2 linked regions of the Rattus norvegicus genome follow. The protein of the gene in region 2 purifies or fractionates together with the protein of the main gene of each other region. This does not show direct contact. Links are inferred from orthologs where the notes say so. Each region holds a gene or a part of one and is shown on either strand. Other genes may lie near its edges.

The links. Proteins that work in one complex are often made in the same cells at the same time.
Region 1: the proteins of Cdc25a (region 2) and Ccnb1 purify together in Homo sapiens (affinity purification with mass spectrometry; 3 studies listed by BioGRID, with this or other methods). This does not show direct contact. The link is inferred for Rattus norvegicus from reciprocal best matches to the Homo sapiens genes CDC25A and CCNB1.

The regions. Positions count from the first base shown.
Region 1 is NC_086020.1:33,648,600-33,652,612, reverse strand, and holds part of Ccnb1 (G2/mitotic-specific cyclin-B1), read left to right. Parts: intron 1-731; coding exon 732-914; intron 915-2,664; coding exon 2,665-2,823; intron 2,824-3,006; coding exon 3,007-3,243; intron 3,244-3,477; coding exon 3,478-3,618; intron 3,619-4,013. UniProt on the Homo sapiens protein: Essential for the control of the cell cycle at the G2/M (mitosis) transition.
Region 2 is NC_086026.1:118,745,576-118,749,851, reverse strand, and holds part of Cdc25a (M-phase inducer phosphatase 1), read right to left. Parts: intron 3,394-4,276; coding exon 3,357-3,393; intron 2,761-3,356; coding exon 2,659-2,760; intron 878-2,658; coding exon 758-877; intron 1-757. UniProt on the Homo sapiens protein: Tyrosine protein phosphatase which functions as a dosage-dependent inducer of mitotic progression. Directly dephosphorylates CDK1 and stimulates its kinase activity. Also dephosphorylates CDK2 in complex with cyclin-E, in vitro.

The DNA of each region.
Region 1 (4,013 bases), on a different chromosome or scaffold from region 2:
ATTGGGGCTTATTTTTTTATGAGACCAGATCTTGCTGGCTTGCAGTTTGCTATGGAGACCAGGCTGGCTTCAACTCAGAGACCTGCCTTCCAGGTGCTGGGATCAAAGCTTATATTAACCATGCCTGGCTCTGATTGTTAGAACTGTTTTCTGATTGTTAGAATTGTTTGTTTTTTTTAAAGATTTATGTATGTGAGTACACTGCAGCTGTCTTCAAACACACCAGAAGAGGACATTGAATCCCGTTACAGACGGTTGTGAGCCACCATGTGGTTGCTGGGAATTGAACTCAGGACCTCTGGAAGAGCAATCAGTGCTCTTAACCTCTGAGGCATCTCTCCAGCCTGCCATTTTTTGTTTGTTTGTTTTGTTTTGTTTTGTTTTGTTCTATGGTTTGTTTTTTTCTTCATGAGTGAGATATCAGTTTGCAATGAGTGCAGGGCCCAGGGAGATCTGAAGAGGTCGTCAGATATCCTGGAACTAAGGTTGAGTCACCTGGTTTTTTAATAGAAAACCAGCCCTTGGCAAAAGCAGCAAATGTTCTTTATAGCTAAAACCATCACTCCAGCCCAGTATGAATCATTTCCCAAAAAGAAATTGGGGGAAAGAATCTGAAATACCTTTCGTTTAATAAAATGAATTACATTTATTTAGAATGACTTACTGAATTGGGGATGATGACTTTACGCTCCCATGATGTAGCATGTTTCATGAAGTCTCTTTTCTTCAAGGTTGATACTCCCTCTCCAAGCCCAATGGAAACATCTGGATGTGCACCTGCCGAAGAATATCTGTGTCAGGCTTTCTCCGATGTGATTCTTGCAGTGAGTGATGTAGATGCAGACGATGGTGGTGATCCAAACCTCTGTAGTGAATATGTGAAAGATATCTATGCTTACCTCAGACAACTGGAGGTCAGTATTGTCATTAGCGTCTGCCTTTACTAACTGCAGCTACCCTAAGCCCTTACTCTTGCTATTTAAGATCCTCCTGGATCAGTATTCCTGGTGCTGGAATTAAAGGGAGATGCTGCACTATACCTGGTTTATCCCTTTATGTTATTTACTAACTAATTTAAAGGCTAGCCTGGAACTCACAGAGATCCTTCTGCCTCACTGGTGCTGGGATTAAAGTTCTGTGACATTCAATTCAGCTGTCAAAGAAATTTTTACTAACAGCGCACCTGACAATTTTTGACAATGAATACTATTTGTTACACTCAGAGCACTGTTGTTAGTTTTGAAACACTAAAAATAAAGTCACTAACCCCGTGAAGTGGACTTGCCACTTTGAATATAAAATGTCAGTGTTGGGAGATACCTTCCTAAAATAGACATACCATAGAGAGGGGGAAGTCCTACATGTGTGTGGTTCGAGAACGGGTTGGATGGTGCTAACAGACACTCGCTGTCCCACACAAGGCATTTTGTATCAGTGTGCGCTCGATTCTCTATCCAAGGTGGAAGTTGTTGGTCCCATCACCTCCACCTACTTGGAAAACTTTCTATCAATGGGACTTGCCCTTTTATCTTTTAAACAAGACATTCTATATAGTTCATGCAGTTTGATCAGGTTTAGACCCTCCCTGTCCCCCCAGTCCTAGGGACAGTCCTTGTGCGTGCTAATCAAGTACTTTGCCACTCAACTATATCCTAGCATTGTCTTCTCAGGTTGTCATTAGTTTTTTGGGTTTTTTGTTTGTTTGTTTGTTTGTTTTTTTATTTTTTAGTCTCTTTTGTAATAGTGTTTCCAAGTGTTGTTGTATGGGTGGGCACATAGAGGGGGTCAAATGACAACTTCCAGGGGTTGATTGATTGCCTTGTGAAGTGGCAGCAGTACATGCCTTTAATCCCATCACTGAGGAGGCAAAGGGAGGAGGCTAGCCTGATCTACATAGTTCCAAAACAGCCAGGGCTACACAAAGAAACACTGTCTTGAGAAACAAAAAGACAAAAGAATTGGTTCTCCTTCTGCCTTTATGTGGGTCCTGGAGTGAATTAAAATTCAATTTAAGGGCTGGAGAGATGGCTCAGTGGTTAAGAGCACTGACTGCTCTTCCAGAGGTCCTGAGTTCAAATCCCAGCAACCACATGGTGGCTCACAACCATCTGTAATGAGATCTGATGCCCTCTTCTGGTGTGTCTGAAGACAGCTACAGTGTACTCATATGCATAAAATAAATAAATCTTTAAAAAAAAAAATTCAATTTAAGTCAGCAGGCCTTTCCCCATGAAGCCATTTTGCTGACACCCATTCTTTGTAGCTAGTGTCTGTATTTTCTAAAGTAATGTTTAGTAAGATTCCTGGTTCCAAACTAGCTGTCTTCCTTTTTCCTTGTTAATACTTTTTTTTGTTGTGTTCTAACACTGCAGAACTGGGTTTCGTATTTGCGCTATGTTGGGTGTTTTGAGTGTATAACTTAGATCAGCTTTCCAGCAGAGTGAAAAGATCTGAGATGAGGATGGGTACAGGGTATAAGCTGCAGTCATTCTGGTTAACCGAATATCAACAATATGAAGAACCTGTTATGACTAACCTAAACCTTGCTTTCTTGGTGAACTTCTGTCCCAAGAGCTACTTGTTTTGTGTTAGTTGACTGGCCTTTGTGGACACAAACGTTATATGGCAGGATTGTTCTAGAATAACTGGCATTTTCTTTTACAGGAAGAGCAGTCAGTTAGACCAAAATACCTACTGGGTCGTGAAGTCACTGGAAACATGAGAGCCATCCTAATCGACTGGCTAATACAGGTTCAGATGAAATTTCGGCTGCTGCAGGAGACCATGTACATGACTGTGTCCATTATCGATCGGTTCATGCAGGTATGTGTGCTCCAGCCATTTGCAGTTGGTTCTCCGGTTGTCTTCTCTGAGAGTCTCAGAGGAGGGGGAGCAGGCCCTGAAGGTAGGCAGGAAACTTACCTGCTGAGCCTGAAACACCCTTTTCTTGGGAAGTCAGGTGTATCAGTTGAGAGGTTCGAGGACAGACTGAACTTGCCATTGCAGGACAGTTGTGTGCCCAAGAAGATGCTGCAGCTGGTTGGTGTAACTGCCATGTTTATTGCAAGCAAATACGAGGAGATGTACCCTCCAGAGATCGGTGACTTCGCTTTTGTGACTAACAACACTTACACCAAGCACCAGATCAGACAGATGGAGATGAAGATTCTGAGAGTTCTGAACTTCAGTCTGGGTCGCCCTCTGCCTCTGCACTTCCTCCGTAGAGCATCTAAAATTGGAGAGGTACAGACTTCTGGAGGAATTTTTTTCTTTTCTTTTTTTGTTTTTTTTTTTTTTTTGTTGTTTTTTGTTTGTTTGTTTGTTTTGTTTTGCCACATGAGAAAATACAGCTGCTAACATTTAAAAATAAGGCTGATGACCTAACTACATATCGTGTGGTTACTTTGAGAGTTTAGTCCCAGGCCTTTGTCAGTTACTGCTAACGGCTTAGAGTGGTGTGTGGGTCGTCTGTTCCAGGTCGATGTGGAGCAGCATACTTTGGCCAAATACCTCATGGAGCTCTCCATGCTGGACTACGACATGGTGCATTTTGCCCCTTCTCAAATTGCAGCTGGGGCTTTTTGCTTAGCCCTGAAAATCCTTGACAACGGTGAATGGGTAAGCTGTCTCACCAAACTACCAAGCATTCGAATAAATTACTTGGTGTTAAGACCACTCTCCTGGTTCCTACCTAATATGGAAGGAATGTGAACATAAATGGTAACCCAAACATGCTGCCATCTTAGATTGGCTCCCCTTCTGTAGCCAACTTAATCTTTATGATAACAACCTTTTGAGGAGGGAAGCCACACCCAAGTGATTTAAGAAACTTAGCCACATCCTTGGAGATGCATTTCTCATGTACCGGGTGCTATCCTGACCTTCAGATAAAGAAGCCACAGTAATAATATTGTGCTTAGATTAGAGCTCGCGCTCTTCCAGAAGTACACATGGGCAAAGAGGTATGAGGGGTGATGACCAGACACTGTCCTCTGCCAGACATAGCATCTAGA
Region 2 (4,276 bases):
TCATACGCCTCATCAACTCACACCCTACCTTGGAAACCAATGTGGTGAAGTGGCAAACACCTGTGATTCTAGAGGCAGGAGCGTTAGGAGTTCAAGACTAGCTTTGACTACATAGCAAATCTGAGGCTAGCTTAGAGATATCTAAGAGATCCTGTCTCAAAAAAGCAAGTAACAGAACACCCAATCCAAACAAAAGCCAAACCAGTAAGATAAGCCACAGGCTTTTAAAGTCTGCACCCTCGGCACCTATAGTTAGAGGTGCTTTAATGATCAAGCAGTTACAGAAAATCTTAGCATTCTGATCCCCAAATATCTACCAAAAATATTGTTTCATATATATATATTTCAAACTGTTATCATGTACTGAGCAACCTATAGTTAAATTCCAGCCTGCTTTTACATGTCCTTTGACAAATGCATCATCAACTTCTCTAATGCAACTTTCTAACCTGCCAAATAACCCCAGCTAATTCACAGGCCTCCCAAACGTTTTACAGACATGAGCCACCAAGTAATAACAGTAAACTTGTTTTTTTGTTTTTGGAACAGGATTTCATGTAGCCCAGGATGGCCTTAAATCATGGCAGAGCTGAGCATAACCTGAACTCCTGGTCCTCCTCCCTCTATCTTCCAAATGCTTGGGTTGTAGGCATATACCATAGACTCAGCATGAATAAGTTTCATGCTCATACAACACACACATGTTGTAAATTCTCTTCCCATGATGAACTCCCAGTGGAAAAGCCAAAACACGTACCATCCGAGCTGGGGCTGAATTCTGCCTGTGTGTAAAGGGGTCCTTACTTTCCTCGTGAACGTGAGCATTCAGGCAGCCACGAGATGCAGGTCTTATTGGCTTTTTAAATTCAAATGCTTCCTGCAAAACAATAAATTTGAAATATCTACTGTCCATAAAATGAACTCTAGGGCTGGTGAGGTGGCTTGGCAGGTAAATATACTTGCTGAGAAGGCTGAATTCCATCCCCAAGCCCACACAGTGGAAAGAACACATCGGAAAGCTGACTTGGCTTCCACATACACACTGTGGCACACTCCCACCTGCAGGCTTTCTCTTTCACTAAATAAACCTAATGAAAACTTGTTGAGGCTAGAGACACCTTAGCAGTAAAGAGCAGAGTTCCTCTGTGGTGACTGTGATGGTAGTGGTGGTGAGTATTCTGAGACAGGGTTTCTCCCCATAGTCATGACTGTCCTGTCCTGGACCTCAGTCTGTACACCATGCGGTCCTTGTCTACCTGCCTGTCTCCCAGGTGCTAGGAGTAAAGATGTGTGCTGCCACCACCATCTAGACAGCAGTTCTTCTAAAAGACCCAGATTTGGTTCTTAGTACCCACAGGCTGGCTTACAACCATCAGTAATTTGTTTCAGGAGATCTGACACCCTCTTTAGGCACCAGGCATACGGTACACAGACATACACCAAACCAAAACAGCCATATGCAGAAGAATGCATGACTATCTTTAAAAGTTATACAAGCACACTTGTTGTTAAGTACTAAAAACAGTTAACTGCCAATAAGAGATTGTATTATTAAGTACTCTCTGAGCATAAGCTAATTTAATCATCAAATACAATCTGATTGTTCCCATTTTACAAGTAAGAAAACTACATCTACAGGTTAATGGCGTGCCTAAGGTCTTGAAGCCAGGTAGGTAAACCCCAGAAAGTTATTTTATCTATGCTATTATTCCTTTAGAGCAAAGCTTCCGGGAAGGCACCCTTGGGAGAAGTCAAGAGCCAGACATAGAGTTTTGGTTCCGTCATACTGGAGAGGCTGACAAACTGCTCCAAGCACACAGGGAGGGAATCCATTTGCACAGAATGCCTCATGACATCTCCCAAAGTTGCCAAACAAAATCTGCTTTCACACAGGACATTGGTTTGTATTAACTTAGAGATTGTAAGGGCTATCAACTGGTATTTTAGCAGGAAATGGGAAACAATAAATATATGGAAAGAGTGAACGAGAGCGGAGCCAATCAGTCTGCCTAACTATTTTAGACAAGACGCTCTGTAGGATTTAAGAGAAAGCCAAGCAGGGCACACATGGACTTCTGGATAAACCATGTCCTATCCTCTGATCCCACAGAACTGAATGGCTTTGGATTTTAGCTTATCACTGCAGTGTTTATAAATGTGGCAGATGGGTCCAATGACATACATCTTCCAAACACAAGTAATAAGATTTTCATGAGCTTAGAGTTGCCCTAGGATTGTAGCCAAGAAAGGAAAATCTTCAGTAGACTCTTCTAGATAAAACAACTCATGGATGTAATTACTCCTCACAAAAGCTACTTACTAAAATCCAACAACATTTATATCAGGTACTGTCCTAAATTTTCTACATATATAATCTTATTTAATTTCTAAAACAGCCAGAATAAATATTGCTACCTTACAAAAAAAATCCAACAACCAAAATAACAAGAAACCCACAAAGGAGCCTAACAAAATTCCAGCACCACAAAACGAGGTAGAAGATACAAATTCAGATTTCTCTACTGAAAGGCCAGGTGTGGTCTGTCTGTGACTTAGTCATGGAGACAGTAGCCCAGCCATGTCACCTGTAAACTGCTGACACTTAGCTTTCACTTCCAGCCTGGGTTATGGTTCCAGCCATGTTGATGCCACACTTACATTTTCTTTATTTTCATCCTGGTCAATGAGTTGAAAGATGTCGTGGTCTAGAGAATCAGAATGGCTCCTCTTTAGCGCTGGGCTACACCCCAAGAGCTTCTGCTGCCAAAGTAAAACAGAGAAATTGAGTTCACAGAGAAAAGCACAATGGGAGACCTAGTTTTCCTTTTCCTTTTTTTGAGATAAGGTTTCACTTTGAAGCCCAGGCTGGCCTTGAACTCAAGATGACCTTTCTGCCTCAGCCTCCCAAAAGCTAAGATTACAGGTTTGACCTATTATACCCAGCTAAAATCTTAATTCTTAAAGAAATGAAGCGGGGTTTGGAAGAACTAGCTTATCACCACATACTGTAGCAGGTAACCAGTAACTGTGCCTAGGGCTCCAACTGCTCTACAGAATCCGGAATCGCCTTACACCTAATCATACAAGGCCTGTAGCCCTCTTGGCAGGTAATAATACGGGCCATACCAACCCCCTAGTAACATTTGCATGAAAAGAACATTTCCTGGTTTGATAAAACTAAGATTGAGTACGAAGTCCACAAGAGGCAGTCACAGTTCCTCTAGGTAATGCCTTACTGCCTGTGTGTTTACAGGAATGTAGAAAAGCAAGGTCCATTTCCTAAACGTAGGGAAGCTGGTGTTTGATGGAGCAGTTTACAGGTATTAGTATTAGCTCAAAACAACAAAGGAACTTACAGGTAGGCAATTTATTCTCCTCAGGGAAATTTCAAGGCTGTAATGAGATCAAAAGGTAAATAAATATAAGAATAAAGAGATATTTTATTTATTTATTTTTTTTGGTTCTTTTTTTCGGAGCTGGGGACCGAACCCAGGGCCTTGCGCTTCCTAGGCAAGCGCTCTACCACTGAGCTAAATCCCCAACCCCAAGAGATATTTTATATGAGCAGATTCATACTGCTCAACCTATAGTAGGGGGAGGAGAGGCATGTCAGGTTCTCATTGTAGCATAGGCAAGAATAGTGTTTCCTGGTCTCAGGAGCACCCTCCATTGAAAATAAAACAAAAATAAAACAAAACCAAAAAACCCCGTGATGTCTCCTAAAATACACACATCCATTCATTTAAGTGTCAAAAAGTAGAGCTGGGGAAATGACAGCTAAACCACAGGAGGGGAAATCCTGCCAACTGCTGACCTGAAGCAACATTCATTGCCAGCAGTGTTTCCAGCACCCAACAATTCACTACAAACAGCTAACTGCAGAGCTCTAGTCCACTGTGAAGAACTTCATTCAAAAGTCAAGTTTTGACCATGAGTGATAACACATACCGTTAACCCAGCACCAGGAGGCGGGCAGACTTCTAGTTCCATGCAAGCCAGGGCTTTGTAATAAGATTCCAATCAAAAACCAACCCTCAAGTTTCTCTTGTCTTTTCTTTTGAGGTTCTAGGGATTCACCCTGTCTAGGGCCTCACACACCACACAAGCGCTCTATTGCCAAGTTTGCACTTTTTATTTTGAGACAGGGTTTTACTAAATTGCCAAGACAGGCCTTGAGTTTTTGATCCTTTTGCCTTGACTTCCTGAGTAGCTGAGACTACAGGCCTGTGCCACTAGGCTGACGTAAGGAAAACTTTCCTACTAAGTAGAAAAATTT